Drosophila melanogaster: one gene and its partner. The protein of the gene in region 2 interacts with the protein of the main gene of each other region in a pairwise test. Each region holds a gene or a part of one and is shown on either strand. Other genes may lie near its edges. The genes, in order: dcma and mfas.

Region 1 (12,730 bases), on a different chromosome or scaffold from region 2:
GACTGGCATTCTCGTTACGGATATGATATGTGCCATTAGAACGCAACATGAAGGCTGAAACAACTTCTTTTTGAGTCGTGGTTTTATTAAAGGAAGGGAACAAGCATGTTGATTAAATTTAGAATAAAGAAAATGTGTAAAATATATATATTCGCCATAAGACTTAGATGACAATTAACCTTTCCGAACCAGCCAAGTCCTCTTCAAGTCCCCACAATGACTGCCTGATTGGGGCTTGGGCGATTAAAGACCCTGACAAAGTGAAATTTATGGCACTCAGCACACTTAAAGCTAAACGTCGGCCGTTTTTTGCTGCCTTACACTATGCATAAGGCCAGCGAGCAAAATATGAAACAGAAATCAGCCAGAGAAGGCAGAAATGAGCGGACAGGGGCAGAAAAGTGCACACAGCAAATAGAAGCGGCAATATAAAAGAGTCGCATGCCGGAAACGACAAACGACAGTCGGCGGTGGGAGGTAGAAAGAGGAAGCCTAATGCCAATGCCAAACACCGGATGCGGATGTGTGACACATGGCCGAAGGGGCGACCTGGCCACCCCATCATACCAATCCCTTTCCACCGACGACGACTGGCAACATACGCACAATGTCATTGTCGCTCGCTTTAAGTAGGCGACTTTATTAAGCCGAGGACACTGAGGAGCACCTCCAAAGTGGCAGGAGCGCAGCAAAGGCACATGGCACACCATTTTAGAATGACAAAAACGGGCACTGTGGCACCGGTTTAAGCATCTTAAATTTGAATATTAGTTATTATTAATTACAATATACAAGATCATGTTTTTTCCATTAGAAGTAGATGTGAATATTAAGAAGAGCTTCCTTTTTCAATGGTGTTTAAATTAAGATTATTTACGTTTAAGCCCCTCACTAGGCATATAAATTATAGCCGCACGTTTAAATCAGTTTTCCGAGTTGGCTTAAGTTGCAGCCTGAATTCTGAAACCCGAAGCTCCCAAGGTGGCCTTAAATTTGCGCGGTGCTTCGCTGAAGCGAAATTCCCACTGTGCATTAAGGGTTTGCAAAAAGAACAAACGGCATAATAGGCTGGCAGGACACCTGGGCACGTGTGTGCTGTTGTTTTGACTGGCCTTGCCAGTACTCACCTGGCATAAAATTAAGCCATGACGACGCGCTTGTCGCCTGGCCTGGCTTCTTATTCCGGGGCAAAGGTCGTTTACGGCACGGCCACAATTTGTTGCTTTTTGATATTTATTTAGACGGCGCTGGCGCATGAGAAGTGAAAAGCGCACAGCCCAGTCGGAACATAAATCAAAAGCAGAAGACGGCGGAAAAACCGTGAAGGAAAAGCCGCAGCGGAAAGGGTAAACGCTGCGGCAACAATGGAAATCGTTTTCAGCTGCAGAGCTTGCGACTTAAACTGGTTATTTATGGCAGGCCAAGGGCGAAGAGTTGAGGCTGCAAAGCCCAGCTGGGTTTTCCCGATCCAAACTATTGCCGGGTAAAAAATTGAGAGAAAGTGTAATGTCCCACGACACCAAGAAAAAACTTTTTGCTTTTTGAAGAAAGACACAGGACCCGAAAAGTATGCATTAGCTCACACCTTATGTTCCTATAATTTCCAACCAGTTCAAGCCACTTTCTTACCTAGTGCATGTGGCATTAACGGGAAAGGACATTAAATTAATTGAATCATGGATAGTAACATGGAACCTTGGTCCTTTGCCCTCAATTTCGATGACAGCGATAAATCGTCGGATAACGAGAGCCACTCTTCGACCAGATCCTCGAGCCGCTCCAGTGACACCAGCATAGACACCAGCTCCGTGGAGAAGGAGCCAGCTAGCGTAATTGAGAGCCAGTCTGTCCCTGGCGGAAGCTACGATGTACGTAACGACTTCCCCAATTAGGACGCATTAATCGATCCGTACTTTTCCCCCTATCAGATTATCTCCAAGACCAACATGCTGCAATTTGTGCAGAAAATCGATGCAAATTCATCGCTGGACGATCAAGGTTGCGATATGATGGCCAGAATAGCCGATGCCTTTGTTAACGACATATCCATGCGCATAGTTAAGTTGGCCAAGTATCGAAAGAGCGACGTTAGCGTGCTGGACCTGAAGTTCATCCTCAAGCGGGAGTTCAACATGGAGTTCCCAATTGAATAAATGTCCAATAAAGGGAAAAATAATGTAGAATTTGAAAATTGTGGAATGAATAAAATGTATGAATAACTTGGTTTAAAACTGTCAGAAAGGCAACAAGAATAATTGTTTTCTGCACCTAATTACCAATGTTAACCAGTGCAATTACTTTTTGGTCAATAAAAAAAATTTTATTTTTGGGTCAGTTTTGCATTTTTTATAAGGGGTACCATCATCAAAATTTGCAAAAATTGGCAAAAAATTAAAATTTCCAAATTGGAATGCCAATTGATTTGGGGATAAAATACAAGCTAAACGAGGTATGGCATTCCATATTTGGACAATTGTTTTAAGATTTATGATGAAAAAACTGAATATATTTGGGCGAAAAATCAAAAAGGTCTCTTTTGGCAAAAACGCAATATTTAAGAGTGGTATTTTCTTCACAACTCGCCTAAAAATAGTCAGATAAGTACAGGAATAACTGTTTTCTGCACCTAATTACCAATAGCAACAATTGCTATTACTTTTTGGTCAATAAAAAAAATTTTATTTTTGGGTCAGTTTTTGCATTTTTTATACCATCATCAAATTTTGCAAAAATTGGCAAAAAATTAAAATTGCCAAGTTTGAATGCCAATCGATTTGGGGATAAAATACAAGCTCAACGAGGTATGGCATTCCATATTTGGACAATTATTTTAAGTTTTATGATAAAAAAAAGGCCTCCTTTTAGACTGAAAAACGTGTTTTGCCAAAATATGGTTTCATCGTGAATTTAAAGAATACACAAAACTCGTGTTTAATACAAATTTGTTAGCTGACGAAAGAATTTTATTGAACATAATTGTGAATACCCATTGAGGTATCAATGAGAAAAGGTGCACGCCTGGTGATAAATTGCAAACCGGATCATCATGATTAAGCAATTAATAAATTCAATGGCCGCTGTCAAGAGCCGGACTCACATTCAATAGCCCCTGCAAAGCGGTCATCATGGTCTCGGCCACACTTTCCCGAGGACTTGACTCTCGCCCTTCAGCCGGGAATTACTCAACATAAAGTTAAAGTGCCATAAAAATGCCAGGGCGCATAATGCCACACACTCACACAGTGGCTGAAAAACACTCACATGCTCCCATTTACACACATGAACGGGCACTGGGTTCCTTTTCAGGTCCTTTGCTCAAAATAAAGGATAAGACCGAGGCGGAAATTTCAGAGCGATTTTTTCTCATATTTTTTTTTTATTTGGTGCTGCCTCAAGAATAAAGAATACTTCTTCGCGGGCCATGGGTATAGCGGAAAATGGCATAATTCTGGAGCTTCTCTCTCTGACTCTTAAGCAAACTTGTGGTTTTGTATTCAGAAGATGATCTGTACTTATTTAAAGAAAACCCAAAGGATTTCATTCTATGTCGCTGAATGTTTTGCATTTGCAGTAGCTGCATTTCGTTGTTTTTAAGCGAATTCTGAGATGTAATATTTTTTTTACACTAATTTAATAGAGATTGTAGCGTTTCCCAATATTTAATCAATATCTGATTTGTTTAAGACCAAAAAACACCAAAACTCTTTAATCAGTTGCGTTTTTATTTTATTTTTCCCATTGCTGGACGAGCAATTTATGCAGTTTGTTTAAATTAACTTAAATAAATCATTACCAGCTGCAAATGGATTGGATGAAGATTAAATATATAATTGAGTACAGCTGACCTAAAACAAATGATCAATCCGCTATCAATATTTCAATATTTAACTAATGTGATTCGAAAATTGAAATAATTTATGGTTAAAATCATTTTAATGCTAAGTGAAGAGTTTATAAAAATTTATATATATATCTATTTATGGTAAATTAAGGACCGCAGTACCACCGCTTTTGTAAAAATCCCATTTGGTTGTGGCCAGAAATAGAAATTACTTTTCATTACATTTGTAACCGCCCTCGGGGCAGCCGCAAACGTTCGCAATCATAATCCAAGAACGACACATTGGGGCGCATTTAAACTGATTTGATATTGGTTCAGCGAGTGTTTGTGTGTGTGTGTGAGAATCTGTGTGTGGGCCAGCAATACCAACGCACTTCTGGGCGAAATTCGTTTGCCGTATGTCTTGGCACGCACGCAGGAAAATTCAAGCCGTCGACGAATTCGTTTGGGCGATATTATAATGAATTTGTCGTGCATATTATTCGTACATACGAGTATTCCCCAATCCGTGACGCTCGCGTACGGATAAAATGAGTAAAAGCAGACACAATGTACCACGCCCACTCCATTTGAGGGCGATCTGGCTTAGTTCCGTGGAGATAAGCAGCTAAGTGACTTTGTCCCGACATCCCATGGCCCATGGGCTGTTGACGGTTTGGTTTCGGATTCGTTTTTGGTTTTTCGAAATCGTGCGCATGAAATAAATACGAATTCTCGATGGTGTTGCGGATGATGTTGTTGGTAGATATAAATTGAATTAAAGTGATATCGGTCGCCGCTGGCCGTAATAGATTAACGAAAATGTAGCCAGGCGTCAGAATAAAATAGACGCCATCCAAATTGAGTTATCAGCATAAATCAAAGGCGGTATTTGGGTATTTGTAAGCACATTATGATTAAGCTCGGGTCGCCTGACTGTCGCCCGACTGGATTGAGCCCTCTTAATGGGTAAGTAAATGCAGCAAACAGCCTTTGCAGCTCAAAAGTTTAGAACACAAATTCTTTTTTAATTAAATTCAAGTGACGACCGCCCCTGCATGTCAAACGCGAGGAGAGCGGAAACTTCCGCCTTTGAGCGAGTCATTTTCAAAGAAATTCGCAAGTTATTCATGGCAACTTTGGGGCCAGGGCAAAAACTTGAGTTGAGTGATATGTTACCAAAGAGTTGACGCCGGGCCAGACCGAAAAAAAAAAAATAATCCTCTCTGGTTTCCGGCCAAGGTCAATGGGTTAGCTGGATTGCAATCCAAAGCTTTAAGCGAGATCCGGGTTTTTGGCACAGGACCAGAACCTGCTAAAAATGAGCAATCAATGCCAGTTGATTACCATTTGTGGAGTTCGGGCAACTCACTTGCCGATGAATCAAGTTAATGAACTAAGTGAATTGGAAAAGTTTCGAACTCTCCCAGTTCGGCTTAAGGACACAAGTATTTGACGTTATCCTTGACGGTTTGACTTGACTTGGGCTTAAAACTCAATGCGCAAGTAACTTTAATGTGTATTTAACTTTAAGTGCACAATAATATTTATCTCTAGCTTAATATCCTGGACATTATTACAAAGTTAGCTGAAAGTCTAAAGTGCTCTTTCTGTTTTGTTTATCATAATGCAGTAATTAGCCTCGTCGTACTTGTTTAATTAAAACTTTAAACTTGTCGAGCATGGCATGCCAATATTTAGATACAAATCTGGTTGCTTTTTTTACCAACCTCGGTTGCGTCCACCGGTGCCATTAGGAAATTGAGTATCTGTCATAAAAAGCCGCTTAGGCCAACATGTTTTAGCGCTTTTCATAAGTTTGTCACGTTCAATTTCCGCTGCGGCACCTTTGATAGCTTCGATGAGGAGTATTTAGTTTAATGTATTGCCATAAATTTAATGCATATCCGAATGGCACTTTAAGTCAAAATCCAGCGCGATGGCGGTCAATCCCAGGCAATTTTGAAATGGCGCTTAGATCCGCTTTTACGACCCCGGTGCCAATGTGAACTTAAGACCCAGCTGCTGGCTAAAGATCATCCCACTTGGCCGTAAAGGAATCTTTTGCCAATTTATTTATGCGAATGCAGGACAAGATGGCCAATACCAACTGGCATGAATGAAATTGTGTTACATACGAATCTAATGCCGGCCAAATGGGAGTTAAAAATTTACTAAATCTAATTGCACTGCAATGTGCAATTGTGGCAAATTGTCATCTGTCACGGAAATTGAAGTGTTTGCGTACAAAATCAGGGACATTCTCAAGCGAGTGCGGCTCCTTGGCAGTAACCCCATTACCGCTAAGTGCCATTGCAGAGGGCCAGGAAAAATTACCTGGCGGATACAGGTGGGCACTGTGGCGTGTTTACGTTCACATTCGGAGGTCTATTTCGATCTATTCTCTGGATGCAATCAATCTTGCGAAGCCATCGAGCGGGCTTATGAAAACAAACACTGCTGTTTCAAATTTATACAGCTAACCAATCACAACATCCGCCACTTAAATTGATGTGTGTGCTCTGTGTTTTTAACTTAAATGAAAATCCGCAAGGTTGTATGCAAATAAAACTCAAAACTATTTAATAATGAATTGCCTTTGCTTTTAAATATTCAAGCTTATCTCGTTGCGTTTATACTTATTTTTGAATTGTGGTCTCTAAAAGAAATTGTTTTCAATGTAATTTTGTGTAGGTGTTAATAAAATATCAAAAATACAGAGTCGGTAATGGATTCCGCTAGCTGTTAATCCTTCACCTATTTTTGGCCCACTTTGAGCCTATGGAGCCCATGGTGCTTCACGGCTGTGTTTGCATTTGCATTTCATTAAAACACAGGCAGGTAAACAAGTTGCCGCTCCTGGCACTCACTCACTCACTTACTCACTTGGCTCGGCTCAACCTCAACCTCGGCGTGAACCGCTGAGCGAATATGTCGTACCCGCGACTACGGCGGATGGCGATGATGATGATGACGAGGACGAGGATGAGGACGAGGATGAGGACGAGGATGAGGACGAGGGCGAGAACTACGGATAGTGGAAGCAGTGAGCTGTTGTTTCAGCTTTCAGCTGCTGGCATTGAGGGCCAAATGACAGTGGGTCCTGCGAGTGAAAGCCTCAAAGAGCAAATGGGGGGCGTGATAGGGTGCAGCGTGCACTGCAATTGCAGACGAGTGGATTTCAAGGCGGCCACTGATTGCACGTGGAACGTGACACGCCCACGGGCATTACAATAAGTATACGCCCGGTGTGTTTCAATTAGTTTGCGTTGTGGCCGAATAAACACGTTAAAAGTGCGTGTAAACAAATGGGGAGCGCACAAAAATGCCAGCAGATAATGACGCCATGTCCGTGGGCAAACAATAAAAGCGTCTCCCAAATTAGGCGGCCATATCAGACGGACCTGACCACATTATTCGGCCCGGCAAACAAGCAACCTGTCACTTGTCACTGGCGACCCCCGGGTTTTATTTTTATTTTTTATTACAACTTTACTCTTCCCCCGGGGAAGAGAGAACGGACAGCCCGGGCATCTGGTCAGATAATTTTCTTTGTTTTCCGGCAAATGTTTTCATTTTTTATCCGCTATTTTTCCACCTATTTTATCACGTTTGCCGTCCCTTTTGTTTCGCCCATCCTATCCCCTGTTTACTTTTCACGCACGTTCACAGGCTTCTCGGAAAACCAGACAGGTAGCAATATGCAAATCAAATAGAGGCCAAATGGTGTTGACAAACGTCGCAAAAAAATGTGTATCGGAGCGGGAAAACGGGGCGAATGCGGAATGGAAAATCCATCGGCACAGAGCTCACGTGCATCCCAAGTGCCCTGGGGAAATTCGAGCGGCACCAGAAAGTAAGAACTTCCCTAATGCAATCCCCTCCGAATTCCGGCTTATGACGGCTCGAATGTCGAACTACGTGGCGGCTCGATTTGCCCCTGGTGAAATTTAAATACGTCACTCTGCTGATCCGATTTGAACTTATTTTATTTGCATTTATTTATTCGACTTGCTTCGGTGCTGCGCCCTCTTTTAATCTATTTTGTATTGATATTTTATTTGATCTAATTGATTGGGTTAAGTGAAATAAGGGGCCTTTGTGTCTCGAAATTTAATTATTGTCTCTTTGACTGATGTCGTTTTTTTTTCTTAAATAAAAGCAGATTTTGGTGTTAAACAACAAGACTAATTCTTTATCTTAGTCGAAAGCAGAAAATATTGTTAACTTGTGTTTCCTACGCATGTTTCAGACATGTTAAAGTGGTACATGCTTTAAGTTCACACTTTTACTACACCAACACTTAAAGTTTCTGGGTGCTATTTATGCTTACATCGAAGTTCCTTTCCAGTTGAGTGTCGGCTATTCACATACTGGATCGAGCAATGCCGATTGTCCAGTTCAATTATTGACACATTATCTGCTACTCAGCTCAGCACGCACTAAAGCCGCAGCACTGACCACCGACCATTATTGACTCAGTACTCAATGCAGGCAGTGGCACAGACCGTATCGCGTATACGCCATGTGGCTCGAATCGAAAACCAAACGCAGCTCGCAACTTGACATGCGCACGTCTTTTGGGCCGCGTGTTCTCGCCTCGACGTCTGTTGTGGGACTAAAAGCCAGAATACTTGCCAGAAGCTGCGGCTGTTGGCCAAGTGAAAGCGTTAACATAGACTCGACAGCAACAGCTGCTCTGTTAACTGGTTTGAGCGCTCTTCTGGCCATTCATTCATAATTGTTTTGAGTGGAATTCTGTGTTGGTCTGATGTTTATTTCCCCTTTTGGGAATACAGAGAAAAATTCTGTGCATAAATAAATATGTATTCCTTGCAAAAAGTAAGCCCTAAGTTTTTATGAGTTAGAAACGGAAAAGAAAAGACTCCGTTCCTCAGATAAAGATATTGCATTTATAAATGTGCTTTATATTTTATAAACGTATCGATTCATAAATATTTTCCACATAAAAATGAGCAATCGAATTGGCCGAAATTCGGATAACTGGTGATCATAAAACCCTTGGCTTATGAACAGAAAAGGCTATGCAAAACTGGCAATGGTTATGTGACTGATGCTGATATTGTTATGTTTTTCTCTCGCTGTGCCAGATTGTTTTGTTGGCAGGACGGAAAATCAATTTGGCTAAGCCGAATGCGACGCTGGGGAGCAACTGAGTTAGCGTCATTCCCGCCACGTGCCTCGCAAATGTTAATGAGCCTGCGTGCCACTACCACAGTCCTTATTTTTATTATGGCCCACTACGATTTCTATGAATACATGGCCTTACGCACTTATGCAAAAAAAAAAAAAATAAAGGGAAATGTTGACCTTTCCCGCGCTGTCAATGCTGCTGGCCAGAGAAGCATAACAAACAAATGCGCGTGAAATGTCAAAATCACTGTCTGCCAGGAGAACAAAAAGCAGAGTAAAAAATAAATACGGAAAAGGGAAAACCCGTGGAAAATGGTAAAAGGATGTGGAAAGATGACGACGCATAAGCGAAAAACAAGCAAACTGCTGGGGGCGAGGCAATCAAGAAAAATTTCTCCAGCAAATGGCATGGCAAATACGAACAGCAGCAACAACCGCAGCAAATTCAAGTGGTTGCAAGTGGTGCGAGAAGTGTGGGGCACGGAAACGGACACGAGTTGATGATGAGGTGGTGGCCCATAAACACACACATGCTAGCCATGCTCTACCAGCGGTCTTAACAAGGCTCAAGTGAATTATAAAAAATAAATGCTCCAACGAGTCCCGAGTCTGTGATACCCGATATGTGGCTGCTATCACTGAAAATTTATATCGGTTTTATATATTAAAGTTTATAAAAATTATGAAATATTTCATTCTCTTAATTAATAAATATTGTATATTTTTTTTCCATTTTACATAACATTTCTTCTTTATCATTTAAACCGGTAAAGATAAAGTTTTGGCAAAAAAGATTTATCACATAACAAGGTAAGCAGGTTTAAACTAAGCCAATGTAAAGCTCACGCTAGCCAGGCAAATAAGCCACAAATAAAGATTAAGCCAACGTACGTGTGCAGAAGCACTTTAAAAGTAAATAAAATAAGTTATTGATAGTAAACACGAAGTGTGCTTTAACTGAACTCCAGTCAAGTAGTGGCTGTATTTCTTGAACTGCAGCTCCCGCAGTTTTTGGCCAGAACAGAATGTTCAACATGCTTTTTATCCAGTGCCACTTTTTTTCGAACAGCAATTGCTGAGGGGCAAGTAAACCGCTGGTAGCTTGTGTGCGGTTTTGTTTGGGCCCCCGTTTTATCCTGTGGCCATCAGTTTTGTGTGAGCTGAGCATAGGGCCAGGAAGCCAGATACGAAATGCTTCGGGCTTAGAGCAACAAACTCGAAATTAGCCGCAAGTATTACACCTCCCGCTGTGCCACATGTTGCAAGAGAAATGGCAACGACTTACAACTGCAACTTTCTGTAGCCACAATATGTCAATTTGTCAACACACCCGCCACGCAGCCAACGAGATGAGAAAACATTCTGGCGGAAAAATAGTGCACAACCTTTGCGGTCTCTGGCTTAATGCAACTTTTTAGCGCAACTTTTTAATTAGTTCAAGTTTATCGTCAAATTTGCATGCACAAACTTTTGCCGGGGCAACGCTGCGTATGCTTAACATGTTTCGTGCATAGCAACTGAATTGCATTTGTGTGCCGAAATCAATGGCATTAGCATTTAAAGGAGAAAAGCACAGAAGCTAGTAGCAGGGCTTACTCGCCTGAAATAACAATGATTTAAAACAAAGCATTAGCAGAAGGCTCAAAGGCTGTCACAAGCAAATTATTTTCGCCACTGGAGTGCATCATTAAAAGGGGATCAATTCACGCAAGAGCGCATAACAATGCAGCCAACGAAATCTTTCTGTTTCAGCCAAAGTCAAAGTTAGCCTTGGATTTCGGCCGTAAGTCCCAATTAATTGCCTGCAATTCGGTAACTTAAGACCATCCGGTTCTCGAAGAGCTTTGCATTTATATGGCGGAGACGTTTGTCCTTATGTACTAACTCACAAGTATACAGTACAGTTGGATTTGAAAATGTAAATGCGATGCAGGCGACAAAAATACGCTCCACTGCGCTCCCTCTTGATTTTAGTTTCGGGGCTTCTACTTTGTTTCATTTTATTTTATTTGGTTTTTTTCTCGCTTCGGAACACTAATGAGCATTTAAGCTTGCGGCTTGTCATGAATTTTATTTTTTTTTGTGTCTACTACAGCTACTGCTGTTGCATTTGCATAAATTGTATTTCCCAAATGGTACGGAGTTGAAAAAATAAAGTTGTTGCTTTAATTTAATTGATTTGCATTTTTAGTGAATTTTAACAAGTTCAACAAAAGGATAAAAATACTTTTCGGTGCAGTATGGGTTCTCACGTGCGTTTTATTGGCCAGCCAAATTCATTTCGCACAAAACAAATCCCCCAGTGTTTTCCTTTTGATTTTCAGATTAGTTTTTCATTGATTTATGGGCCATGTTTTATACAACTAGAAGTGCACACTTTAATCGCGCCAAATGTTTGGGCTTCGGCTCCCTTCGTTTCCCCAATTTTTGCTTTTGTTTTTTCTCTCCCACTGTCCGTTTGTTTGTATCTCATTCTGGGCCATTTAATGCGTATACGCAGTGTGTGCTGGCATTTCTTGGTGGCCACAAACGGAAGCGCTAAACCAAACATAAAAACAAACAGCACTCCTAATCGTGTGTATAAATGTTTATGCTCGTGTGTTGGCATAGTTTTATGTCTCAATTGAAGCGCTCTGCCTGGCCAAATAAAAATAATCAGCAAGTCAATATCCCGATGGGGAGCGGAAGAAACCCCTAAATCTTTGTCTATTTCCGTACACTTCATTATCGAGTCAGTCTTACACTCACTTCTCTAGAAATTTGTGTTGATGATGAAGTGGCTCGGTTGGCGGAATTAATCCATCCCATGAATGATCCATGATTGCCAAGTAATGGAAAAGCGCTTAGTTAATTGTGGGGCATCGCACATGGTAGCTGTTTCGATAGAAATTGATGGCGACACGTGTTGAAATCGAATTATACGAACATAATTCACTCGATTATTTCTGTCTATCAATTAATTACCAACCTGCTGATGTGTCAAATGCTTTCGAATTTATTGAATGCCATTGCTGCATTTTTGAGCCGTTTGCCTCTAAATGTTTATGCAGTTATTTATGTGCTCTATTATTTTCTTCATGTTTTATAGCTCCACTCGAAAGCATAATAAATCAATGCTAAGATATGTACCACATTATAAAGTTTATGCAATTTAACATAGATTCACAAATACAATTTAACTATGTTCAGAATCGAAATTTAAAATTTAAGTGGTAAGGTTGCCAAGCTCTTTCATGAGGACAGCAATGTGACCAATAATCCTTTTGATTTTTGATTATTTGGCTAATAAGTTTCTCACGTGCTTCCCTTCGACGGTGTTGCCACATAGCTACAATTTTGCATTTCATAATAACGCTTTCACACAGGAGCTTAAGGAGAACAGGTATTGAAGGCAAATTTCGTGTTCATTTCCACTGTTCCACTTTTAACGCGTATAATGGAAGTGCAGAATTCCAACATCTGGCAACGACGCAGGAAACTCGTGGCTTTCCTTGAACTTTTTCCTATTAGTCGCGACTTGATTTAACTTTTATTTAAGTACCCAGTACTAAAATATTTTACCCAACAATAATGTCCGAAGTATTGCAGCGCTTGGCTTCCACTGAAGTTAGAAGTAGGTCAGGGATTTGCATCTTACACAATTACCATAACCAAGTCTTCCCACAGAGGCAAGAGATCCAATAGATCGGTTCCTGGAGCGACGTCAACTCTTTCGGAAGCATATGCTAGGGGATGCCTCGAGTCTGTTTCGAGTGG
Region 2 (12,825 bases):
CTGTTGCTGGCGCTGTGGGCGTGGCACGATGATGTCGTTGATCTCATGGAGAATTCCATTGGTGGCCACCACATCGCACTTGGTGACGCCGGCGTTCTCGATCTTGGGACGACGATCGCGGGTGATACGCAGATGCTGGCCAGAGATGGACTCGATGGAGCGGACAAATGGCCAGTTGGTTGGGATAATGCCGGCACAGCAGACAACATCCTCAACGATATGGGTTTTGACCAAGGCCATGGGATCGGCGGGCTTTGAACCCTCACCGGACTCGTTCAGCTCCTCGAAGATATCGTTCTTTGGCACCAGCAGGGTGAGACTCCTCGAATCGTTGGACAGCAGCTGTGTAAGATTAGCCTTACGAACCAGCTCCAGGAACTTGCTGTAGTTGGGATTAGCCTCCAGCAGCTTAAGCATGTTCTGTGGAATATTTACAAATAAGCATAAGCTTTAAATTCCGTGATAACCTCGTAGAACTCACATTCTTGGGAGGCGCCAAGGCACGATCCACCTGGTGGAGAACGGATCCGCAGCTCTCGTCATCGAAGTGCACCAAACGGGCACAGTTTACCGTTGCCCGGTTCATCACGTCCGAGAAGAGAGCATGGGTGGAGTACAGGTTCAGACGCACACTAGATCCAGCAACCGTGGGCAGGGACTTCTCCGACAGGTCACAGGTCTTGATCATGGGCTTGACCACATGGTAGTTAAGGAACTCCAGCAGATCCAAGTTATGATTCAGCAGCTCCGGCTGTTCCTTGAGCATGCGAGCCCATTCCGTATTCTGCAGAGCCTTGTCAGTTGGTGCAAAGATGGTCACGTTGTCCAGATCGTCGAACTGATCATCGTAGCCGGAGGCCTCCAGCAATCGCTGGAAGATGGTCAGGTTCTTTTGCGACATCAGCGAGGTCATGGGCAGAGCCGATTCGGTGGGCAGGATGGTGTCGATTACGTGCAGCACACCATTGGTGCCCATGATATCGGCATCAATGATTTTGGCCAAGTTATTGATGTAGATGGGAGTCGGTCCAGTCTGATTCGCAGCGCGGTGGGTTCGGTTGAGGAGCAGGGGTTCTCCCAGTAGATTGTAGGCCGTCGTCTTGGCACCCGGAACAGTGGCCAGCGAGCAGAAGGTGAGGTCCAGCAAATGGTTCTTCAGGATGTCTACCGGATAAATGGGAATCATATTATATTAGTTAGTTAGCTGCTTGTGGATAAGTTTCCAGACCAACTCACTGGAGGCACAACCGCGACCTTCCTTGAGGGCTCGACGCAGATGAGGTTCCAACTTGTCGAAGGCGGCATCGGTGGGCACAAAGATGGTCACTGGCTTGTCATCCTCTAGCATGGCGCTCAGGTTGGTCTTCTCCAGAACGGTGCGCATAATGGACATATCCGCACGCTCCCTGATGATATCCATAAGGTTCTTGGTCAGCGGCTTCAGGACTCCGCCCAGAGTGTGGACAAGGGCCTGCTCCGAGAGCTTGTCGTGCTTCTCGATGGGCACACAGTTGGCGGCAAAGCGGTAGGGTTCCAGGCCCAAAGCCGCAGGCAGCTGGTAGCTGTTGATGCGGATCTTCTGGTCAGGCAGCTCCGTCTGCAGAAGCTTCTCATTGGGCACATCCTCCAGCTGAACTTCGCCGAGAACAGCGTGCAGTTTGTAGATGGATGGCTTGGAAGCCTCGGCCTTGGCATCTTCCACATTCTGTTGTACGCAAAGAATTCTCATTTATTTACATGAATTTTAGTAACCAAAGGCATGCTCACATTCTCCTGCTGATGATGACCACGGTACTCCATGAAGGCGGCGTCGTTGGGCACGAAGAGGGTCACCTTCTTGCCACTGCCTGCTCCGAGCATATCGGCCAGCTCACCGGCGGTGCGTGCACTCTCCAGGAACTGCTTGGCACCCATGTCACTGGCCGTGGCCTCCACGTCCTTGATGTCGATCTTCTCGCAGGGCGTTGTGAAGTCAGCGTTTCTGGGGCGTCCATATCCATAGCAGCACTGGCGGGTCAGCGTCAGCGTTTTCTTCTTGCCATTTTGATTCACGCTGCAGGGGATAAAGTGTTCAATCAATTGGATGAGATTAGGTAATCCTACTGTAATCTGCTTACATCTTGGTGCAGACGTGCTTGTTGGGCTTCTCGGCGCAGGAGTTAACGCTGAACTGGAACTGGCCAAAGAGTGGGGATCGCACCACGTTGGTAACGCCATCACGTTCCTGGCCAAAGGTGTCCACGGTTTCTTCTGCCTCCGTTTCACTGGCCACAGTCTCGTCTTCCTCCTTTTCGGTGCACACATTGGGTCTGAATAAAGCGAAAAATTGGTTATTGGTTAACAATGTGATGTAGTAATAGTTTGGCGAAATGAACAAATATAATTCAAGGCAATCGTTTTTCGAGACTCAAATACATAAGCTTTAAAAATAGTGTATTTCAGGCATATATTCAAATCATTAGTTTTATAAGTTATCTTCAATGAGCAATTACTAATAACTTGTTGCTATATTTAATCTATGATGATCATTCTCCCTTTACGTTCTCTACAAATTATAGCCAAACCTGCTAATGAATTGGTCATATAACAGACATGCAAATCGAAATGTCAATGCACTATATAGCACTATATACCACTATACATATATGTATATAATTTTGATTCAACCCTAAATTCCTATATATCCACAACTCCGAATCCAATCCAACTTAGTCGGTTGATCGGCACTCGCTAACCGATTGTTTGCCCAATGGATTTGCACAATGAGTCCGGCACATAGAAAGCATAGTTATATTATACAAACTGACTTTTATATAAATGCGTATGTGTGTTGGCTTAACAGCTTTGCCAGTCCATCAATTCAATTATGGCAGCGATGAGAGGAGTCTACTGAATGCGAACTCATTGTGTGCGTAGATTTTAGAAATTTCTCACTGAACCATAGATACACAGTCGCATACATACATACATACATATGTTTGTAATGCAGCTAATTTATCAATTTGCCACATCTGTGACTTTCATTTTACTATGCCCGCGCAGTAACGAGTTCATCGCACAGTGCAAAAAAGACGACAAGTGGATTTCACAATTTATAAAAGTGCAAGCTCGGCTGTAGAAACCGTGCAGTTGTGCACTTATCCAATATAGACACTATATATCTATATATTCATTCACTTTTCCCTATATACAATGCCATATCTGGTTGGGCAATTAAAAAAAAAAACAGCAATCGAGCCCTGGAAAATTATTAAGCAGCCTCAGCTGCGAATAATCTTGGATGGAAAATTATTTAAGTAGGTATTTACCATTTAATTGATATGCTCGATTGCCTCTATGATGGCGATAACCCATCCAACTTTACACAATTATAGAATATATATACCATACAATCATATAGTTAATGGGTCGTATGAACTTGACATTGTGCTCTCTTAATTGCCAAATGCCAAGAACGGCGAAGTTGGCCACAGAATCACTCGAGTGCGGCGATTAGGAAAGACGCCAAATTAGTGACCATAACTGGGGGACTTTTTTTTTTTTTTTTAGCATTCAAGTGGGGGCAAATGCCCTTAATGGATGGCACTTACCCCTTCCACCAGGGCTCCTGGGCAGCTCCAAAGCCAAAGCCTCCGAACGAATTGAAGAACTCATTGCCAAAGAAGGGGAACGATTGCTGGAAGAAGATGGCCGGATTTGGGGAATTCACATCCGTGGTGATGGTGTCCACATCTGCGAAGTAAGGAAACGCAATTAAAACCATACTATAAAATTTAACAATTGCTTAAGACACTTAAAATATTCTTTAGTAACAATTCAAATTACGCTGAGATTAAGCTTGCACATAATATTCTTCAAGATACTAATTTTGCGAGTGCAATTTTTATGGCATTGTTAAATCACTATAATTAAGCGATCAGCATAGTTGATCAAGAATGGCTACCTCTTGCTGTTTTGCAAAGTAGTTTATAAATTGGTCGTTTCTAAGATTCAATTTCAGATTTAAATTCAGATTTTATTCCAGATTTGGACTAGAAACCAATTGCAACAGAAATAATTAAAAGAGTTTTGGGATTTCTATTTTAATAAATTTTAAACGAATATCTAAATATATGTATATTATAGAGATATAGAGCACTTACTGAACGGCTTCTGCTCCACACCGCTGGGGGTTTGAGCGGGAACGGTGGCCGCCGTCTCCTGGCGTCCCTGCGGCTGCTGCTGGTGCTCCAGTGGCACGAACTCGGTGTCGTATCCGCTGCTGAAGAGGGGCAACAGGTGAGATGAGTGGAGTTGCGGCGCCAACGGGGCGGGTCCGTTCCAGACGCTCGCCATCCGCTGCGAGGCCTGGGCATGCAGTGGATCTTGGGGCTCGAGCGGTGCGAGTGGTGCGAAGGGCAGGGGCGCGAACAGATTGCGATGCGCCGGCAATGGGTGGGTTAAATGTGGCATAAAGCTGCAGAACGGTGGGAGTGGGCGTAGGAGTGGACGTGGTGTAGAGTGATGTGGTTAGTGTATACAGTATTAGCTGGCTACTGTGTGCCCATATGTGTGTGTGTGTGTGTGTGTCTGTGTGTGTTCCCTTCATGCAAATTCCATTGGTGAGCGGAACGAATCGAAACGGAACCGGGACCCAATAATTCATATGCCTCCATTGTTACCTCGCATAAAAAGAAGCTCAACTCTATCCTCACCAAACTAAATATATGTATCTATCTGTATGTAGTATATATGCTGATCGTGCTCATTGTTTAGGTTTTTTGCGCAGCATTTACCTGAGCCGCATACTAAGCGCCTGTCAGTGGAACTCTTTTTAGAATCAAATGAAAATAACTTTTTAAGTGCCGAAACAATCGCTGAAAAAGGCGAACAAAACTTGAGAAATGTTCCTGCACTTGTCATCCATCAACTGAGATTTATGTCAACGGATTTTGGTTTTTTCTGCGTCTCCCAATGCATTCGAAATCTGTAAACTGACTCAGATACTTTCTATGAAGACATACATACGCGTTAGCCAACTTCAAATCTTTTTTTCTTCGCTGCGGCTCATTAAAATTCGCTTCGCGGGAGCTAATTAAAAAAAGCTCATAATAAGTGCTAAATGAAAAAAATATACGAAACGAAACTAGCTGGAAATAAATAATAAAACAATACTGCCCGAAAAGGCGAAACGTAAACAATTTGTTGGGTTGCTGACTTTGAGGTACTTCTGTGTATCCGATTCACTTCTGGTTGGAGATCTGCCTCCGTCCAAGATGACTCATCCAGGCGGGACGTGATCGACAGGGCTCGAAGCGGCTTTGGCTGAGCTACAGATACAGGCGGTTTAAGCCGACATTACAATACATAGAGGCTTGGCCAGTTTGATTTTTTTTTTTCTCTTTCTACCTTGTCAGATTCTCTGGAAATCACTTCTATAATATTGCTAGAGCGAGTGAATGCACCTCAGTTTAAATCAATTGTGTGTCCATCAATCAAAAAACCATCAAAATATTTGATAAAAAGGAACACTTAATTTATTCACAATTTATTCGCAAGAATATTTACTCAAAACGTTATCATAAATATTTTATATTACTTGGAAATAAGTCAAAAATTTTATTTCTTTTTCATTATTTTAACTACTGTACGTCGATTATTGAATGCAAATAATATTTCAAAATGTATACATTCATATGAACAGATTTGAATAAAGAAATAAAAAATCTTACAATAGAGCGAATGACTTTTGAAATCTTAGAATAATTACTCTTCATCTTAAAAATTGTGCAAAAATATAATATCAACTGTATGTTGTTTGATAAGATATTAAATATATCCATTTAGCAGTAATTCAATGACTAAGTACTTTGTGAAAGATTAATGAATGTGTGAAGTATTTGTTTTGTGATCATGGTATTCAAGACTACTTGGAATATTTGTAGACTGCGTATCCAATCTGTGAATCGAATATAATTTGCAAACAAACTAAATTCTGTTCGCTTGAAGCCAGAGCGAAAGTCATTGGCCACAGAAATTTCCAGGGAAATGTTTACGTCGAGGGCAGAGATGGATCCAACCAAATGGCTGCCTGATTTAATTTAAGCGCAGCCGTGACAGGCAGAATAAAAAAAAACATTCTGTGAGCGTTAAAGGGGGAACCAAATTGTGGGCGACCCAATTCGAGGGCAGATTATAGAGTTTGCGGAGACATTCTTTTGCCGGCGCATTACCCATTACCCACAATATGCCACTTAATGCCGTGTCAAATGTCAATTGCTCTCAGGGCCAAAACTGTTCGAGATTTGTGTGCCAAAGATGAGCCCTGCGGCGGCTTGAACCCAAAGGTGGCAAAGTCAGCCAAGTGTGGAGCGAACGGAGAAGATCGGTGGAAGAAGATGTGGATCTTGGTTGCCCAAGTCCCGCGGTGTTGCCCCACTTTGGTTGCACATTGTTCTCTTGCGATGCAGTATCTTTCGCAAAAAAGGGGGAAAAAAATAATAAAAGCCAAAGACTCAGATCGTGGCCTTTGCACATTTCCAATGGCGGCAAAGAACCCAGTTCGATGCGGATTTATTGGCAGACAATCTCTGCGACTCAACAATTTCAGTTTAAGGTTTATCAATTGAGGTCAATACTCGGCGGGCTTTTGGACTTTCTTTCCGGGGGAACTTTTCGCTCTTTCAGCGCCTTCGCTACCATAAACATTTCGGTCAACTTTATTTGCAGTTTCGTTTAGCGGGCGAAAAGTTTCTCCAAGAACAAACAGGGCTCGGTGCCTCGTTGGGCTTGAAAATGTCATAAAAAACACTGAACCCGGTATTAGCCAACTTTTATGTGGTGTCAGTGGGCCCAGCGGAACCCGTGAGTGAAAAAAATATTGAAACTGTTTAAGCATTTTTAAGTTGTTTAACATGTAAACCTCGTCGGTATGTTTGCTTTGTTAAGTAGTTGTAAATGAGCAAATCTACTGGGAAATGTTGGGGACTCAACAGCTGGGCTAACTACGTTTACTTATAGTTCACCTGGAGTTATCTGAGGACTCGTGTGTGGAATCCGAGGAGTCATCGAATTCGGCAACCTCTTCAGAACTTGAACTGGAATTCAACATTTCGTTTATTGGGACAGATTTAAAAGGTCGGGCGGATGGGAAAAATCTACTAGGGTTAGTTCTATGGGACTTAAGCACTTAATATTAACGATTATTTGGAAACTTTACCAATTGGTCTTCAAAAATATATTTGAAAGCGTTATTGTAAAACTTCAATAATGGCAAAATACTTGTTTTTTAACTCGTGGCTTACATTAATATTGTTATAAACATTGTTATGGATGGTATCAAACGTTTCAATTTAGATCTAATTTTGTATTTCTTTCAAAGTGTTTTTTTTTTTTTAATTTTTTTCCGTTTTTAGTTATTTGGGATGCGCTTGTTAGGTAAAATTTTGTTCCAATGATTCTATGAAATTGTATATGTTTAATTAGAGAAGTATTTCAATTTTGTGGGTCCCAGGCATTCCTGGCATTTCAATTGTGTTCCGATAACATAAAACATTTAGTTCATGCCTTATCAGAAGATGTCGATGTACATATGTTAACCATTTAGCCCGCAACGCAAACAACTCAAACTACGTGAAATGTGCATGAAACGAACGCTACTACACAGCACGAAAAACTTGTCGGATTGATACTCACTCGCCGTAGAATGGAACCGCCTGGATCTGGATTGATCCCAGGAGGAGCAGGCAGGCCCACAGCCGTAGCATGTTTGGTATCACAATTTTAATCTGGAGCCTCGGTTGGGAGCTAAGTAAATGAACGAGACAAGCTGAAAGTTGCTGTAATCAAGGGAATGGCTGAAGCTGGCTGAATGGCTGGTTGGATTCGAGAAATTTCACCGCGATGGATGGAAAAACAGCTGAGAAACCGAAGAAATACAGGTTTTCCACGCAGCGCTGCACTCGCGTATGTAGGTGACTGATTTTGGGAGTGAGAGCGACGGTCGACGAAGAAAATTTTCCACTGTCTTCACGCATTAATTGTAAATATGCTACGGATAGACGACATATACCGCCTGTCACTCACTTGTAATTATTGTCAATTGTCTTGTTTTTACAAAAATTGGCACACACTCAATTATCAAATGTCTCTGGCTCCTTTTACTGCAGTTAATCGTAAAAAAGGGGCACTTGTGGCACTCACGAAAGTTGTTATATGTTGCTTGATCCGACGATGTTGCCGCTTCAAGTCGCAGTTTAAAACTAACTGCCCAAGAACGTCGAGCATCTGGTATTTATAAGCTGCTCTGCCGCAGTCGCCGTCGATTCCTCTGCCGCGATATCAACGCATGTAGTGATCATGGGAGCTTTGGGAGAACAGAGAGAACTTTTGGGGACGCTGTGAAATCGGTAATAGCTCTATATATGTATGTATGTGTGTATTTACATATGTATATGCAAATAGTGCGGGTGGCAGGAGGTTCGTACAAATTGTGAAAGTGCCAGCTATTAACACTTCATAGAGAAGCGAGCGAAACGAAGCACTTTTATTAATCATAGTACATTTCACTCAAAATACTGTAGAATTTGGGATACAAAACCCAAACTAAAACGGTGTAGAATCTGAAGAATATATCCTATAATATAGGACTCATATCATTTCAGACTTTGGCTTGGCGAGCATTTCAAACTACTTATTCATTTCGAGTATTTTCAATTTCCTAGAATCATTTTCTGTTTAAACTGCACCTAGAGCGTTTCTGGCAATGTCCTACCTGTATTTGCTAGCCAGGTGTAGTGCGCACTTGGAATTTCCGATATTCCCGTAACCTCTAACACCCATCAATCACTGTGGTGTCTGGTCGGTTCCGCCTTATTAGGAGTCTCCTCATATTTTGAAACTGTTCCGATCGGTTTTTATTGTTTTGTATAAACAAGATGTCAGCTTGTAGCTACATGTGTAGATGAAATTGAATTTCTTGGAACTGTTAGAAGACTTTATAATGTGTTCTTATATTTGATTGCTCATTGTTTTGATTTTAGTCAATATTAGATGCCCGTTTTTTACTTATTACCAAAGTCAAGCAAAGTATGTTGTTATTGAAAAACCATGAAAAATCGTAATCATCCGTTTCTGAAATAAATATTTATTCATTATTTACAATATTTATTTGTGCTATTAATGTAGGTGTATATATATTTTGTATACGTAGATGTACCACAACTGAAATGTATCTTTAAGTATATTCGTTTTAAATATATTTGTTTTAAATAAATAATTACTTTCCCACTTTTCTGTTTATCTTGTGCATTTGAACTTCTTCTAGTTTAATTTTCATCATAATTTTGATTAAAAGTTTACACTTAGATATGCAAATAGTACAATTGAATCCACACACTCATCGAAGCATCTCATTCAATTTCAAATAAATTCCCAATAAATTATTCGCAAGTCTCGTTATACATTAAGCTGAAATTTTGTGTCGACAAACAGAGCAAATTCTTAGCCGTGTGTTTTTTGTGTGTCCGTGTTTGAAATAATCTCCAGCCCAGTGATTATTTAAAACACTCATGTGATCCATTTTCTGTTTCCAAATCTGCTCTCCCGGTCCCCTGTGTCCATCTACTTTCGCATTTCCTAGTTTTGTAGCTCTAAGAGGAACTTCCATCAAGATCTATCAAATCGCTCAACATCGCCTACTCGAAAAGTGCTGTGTCGATGAAAGGAAGAGAATAATCAAAATCTATAATTAATTGGGTATAAAATTGGGTTTCCCCCCATTGGCGAGCAATAAATAATAAATGTATTAATTTAAAACTTTATTCAGCTTCCTTAATAATAGGTTGCCACCTTAAGCTTGAAATACAACAGCTTTTTAACCAAATACATTTTGGTTAAATGAATTTGTGAATATGTACCTGGCCGTTTGCCTCGCATTCCCAGGAATCCGTTGGGCGCTCGCTTTTCTCCCCACAGGTAGAGCCATGGATGCACCAGAGCTTGCTCATGATCGTCACCAATCCCGACTCCGTTGCCCTCCAGATCGCTCTTCTTGCCACGCACCGCCACAAATTTGCTGTTGAAGTCGGCGAAGCGCTGCTGTTTTCCTCTCAAGTCATAGGACTTTTTAAAAAAAGTGTGCCAGAACTGGGGTCGATTAGATCTTCACATATGTATAGATATGCAATTCAATGGTTTCTTTTATGTATTATTCAAAAAAAGACTAACACTCTGATTTGCAATGGGGTTTTAGTGTTTTAATAAGCGCATCAAGAGAAACCACTGTACTTGCCACCAACAACTAACTGCAAGGTAAGTCGACTTACATCGGAGAGAGCTGCACGCTTGTAGTGCTGGTGGGAGACGTCCTTCTTGCCGCGCATCCCCACAAAGGAATTGACCGGCGCCCGCTTTTGTTGCAGCTCCGTGGCCTCGTCCGCCTCCGCGTCATCGTCCCCGGCCAGCAGGGCGGGTCGCTTACCTCGCATGCCCGTGAACCCGGTGGGCGCTCTCTTGCCCACCGCGGAGCCATCACGCCCAGCCACGCGATCGAAGAAGTCCTGCAGCAGGCTATCCCGCAGGCGCTCCTCCTCCAGGCTCTGCAGGACATCGGACAGGCGGTTGTTGATTGGGATGAATTTCTTGCCACGCAGGCCAACAAAGGCCAGCGGTGCCTTCTTCAGTCGCCGCCCGTTCTCCGCGTAGCTGCTGTCCGCCTCCTCGTCGGCGTAATCCAGCGGATCGGGTCCCGATCCCAGCCAGTTACCCTCCGAGGTGTCGTGCTCCTCGTCCTTCTTGCCGCGCATCCCAATGAAGCTGGACGTGGGCGCCCGCTTTACCACCCGACGCGGCTCTTCGGCGCCGGGCGTCAGCGGGCTGCCGGAGGACTCCGTCTCCGTGTCCGCCGCACTCGATGGTGCCGTCAGCAGGAGCAGCAGCAGCAGCGCCAGCGCTATCAAACCGCTCAGAGGGCGCATTGGATGTGGCGAGCTTTTAGGCGGGCGTGGAAATCGATGCGCTGCTGGAAAAGCGAAATTGGGGAGAAAATCGATGATTTATTACAATGTGTAATTAGGAAATAATGTTAATGTCAGATAAATATCTAGATATTTTATTACATATTATCACAACTAAATGTTGATACATCTTCATTTTTAGCTGGAAAATAGTTACATAGGGTATTAAAAAGGGCTTATAACTACAGAAGAGGTTAAATATAATCACTCTGCCACATTTTTATTTATGTCAATTTAATTTGACTCTACTCAGCTGTTTTATATAAATTAAATGAATTTAGCTTGTTTATAAATACTTAGTAATATTTTCTACCTCACATATGCAATTACAGAAATACAAAAATTACTACAGATATTATAAAGAAAACGCGTATGAAGTGTGTAACCCTTTAAAAATGTTTTCCATTTCATTTCCTGCTTTGTTTGTTTTGATTTTCCTTTTTTATTTTTTTTTGCTATTCGCATATACTTGCTTTAGTGCACTTAGACTCGCAAATTCCCCGCGGCGGCGTCTACTTGACCTTTTTGTACTCGTGTTCTACGGTTCGCGGAGTGGTGTGAATAGGTTAAGGAGCTTGGTGGGAAACAGAATGGTTTCCAACATACACACTTATGCAACATTGTATTTGAGAAAATAATAATACAAACTATGTATAATACTAAATATTAAATTAGTATCGGGCTTAAAAAACACAAAAATAATACTTAAATTCTATGCAAATGTAAGATCATAACCAATGAAATTCCCTATTTTTAGTGGCACCAATATCTGCGGAAGTATCCATATACATTTGGATGCTCATGAGTACTGGCCTTTAGTCGAGATGCAATCGAGTGCAAGTGCAACGTCGGCTGATGCTGCAACTCATGATGCAAAATGCAAACACAAAGGACGAAGTGGGGCAAAGTACACTGAGGAATTGAAATCCCATGAATTTGATTTAAGGTTACAGCTGTGTAGATATATGATTATAGGATTTTTATTGATATATGTATATGCATGTATTTATTTTACATATTAGATGCAGTCAGTTATTTTATAAATCAATGAATTTTGAGATATTTAATATTAAAACCATTGGTTAAGTTAATTTTAATTTAATTGTAATATAAATTTATCGTGTCATTCTTACAACTAGATTTTATTCCTATACTTTTAAGTGCAACATCCCATGCCGCGAATATCTCTAACGAGTTGACGCCACGCATGATTATGCCACGCCTTGTAAAGTGAAATTGCCATGCAAATAAACCCCTGGCCTGGTGGCTTAAGCCCGTCGGGGAAAGAAGGTTGGGGGGGGGGGGGCGGATGGTGTCGAAGTGGCAGCTGCAACAGGAGCAATAGATGGTAAAAACTGTGGCGACCTCTAACGATGCGATGCGCACAGGAAACAACAAACATGTAATTCAATTGATTGCCACCGGCGGCGACAACCGCAAACAAGCAAACATTGCAGCATCGAGCAGAAAAGTGCAGAGGCAATTCAATTGAACTTAGCGAAATGCATTTGAATTCAATTGATGTCGAGTTTGCCACAATCAACAGGTGGGTTAGGCACTTAGGGCTCATCGTTGTTATGATTACGACGGCTCTGTTTGCTTGGAGTTGGAATGGAGCCAAAGTGCTGAAAGGCCCCAAAGTTTGATGTTTTTTTTTAAGGATAAAAAATATAGTTTTAGGGATTAGAGGAGAGGCTCTCAAATGTCAAAGCATCAGAACATGTCGGCTGAACTTTAAACGAACAGTGGGCATGAGCAGTTTGCTTAAAAAACCAGGATATTATTAAAGTGAAAGTCATTACTACTTGCTACTTTTAAATTTTATTGTTTG

The links.
Region 1: the proteins of mfas (region 2) and dcma interact in a two-hybrid assay, tested with the Drosophila melanogaster proteins (one large-scale study listed by BioGRID).

What each region holds. Positions count from the first base shown.
Region 1 is NT_033779.5:4,690,415-4,703,144, reverse strand, and holds the start of dcma (decima), read right to left. Parts: upstream 8,425-12,730; 5' UTR 8,154-8,424; intron 2,311-8,153; exon of another isoform or gene 2,154-2,310; coding exon of another isoform or gene 1,929-2,153; intron 1,869-1,928; coding exon of another isoform or gene 1,677-1,868; exon of another isoform or gene 1,660-1,676; intron 1-1,659. Other genes in the region: Taf12L (TBP-associated factor 30kD subunit alpha-2), read left to right, coding at 1,677-1,868, 1,929-2,153; CG3251 (uncharacterized protein), read left to right, coding at 12,545-12,587, 12,641-12,730.
Region 2 is NT_033777.3:11,985,068-11,997,892, forward strand, and holds the start of mfas (midline fasciclin), read right to left. Parts: upstream 8,249-12,825; 5' UTR 8,182-8,248; exon of another isoform or gene 7,786-8,181; 5' UTR 7,746-7,785; coding exon 7,675-7,745; intron 7,077-7,674; coding exon 7,005-7,076; intron 4,936-7,004; exon of another isoform or gene 4,787-4,935; coding exon of another isoform or gene 4,776-4,786; intron 4,457-4,775; coding exon 4,143-4,456; intron 3,733-4,142; coding exon 3,591-3,732; intron 2,310-3,590; coding exon 2,118-2,309; intron 2,054-2,117; coding exon 1,768-2,053; intron 1,706-1,767; coding exon 1,237-1,705; intron 1,165-1,236; coding exon 482-1,164; intron 421-481; coding exon 1-420. Other genes in the region: Tk (tachykinin), read right to left, coding at 9,675-9,688, 9,897-10,125, 10,305-10,955.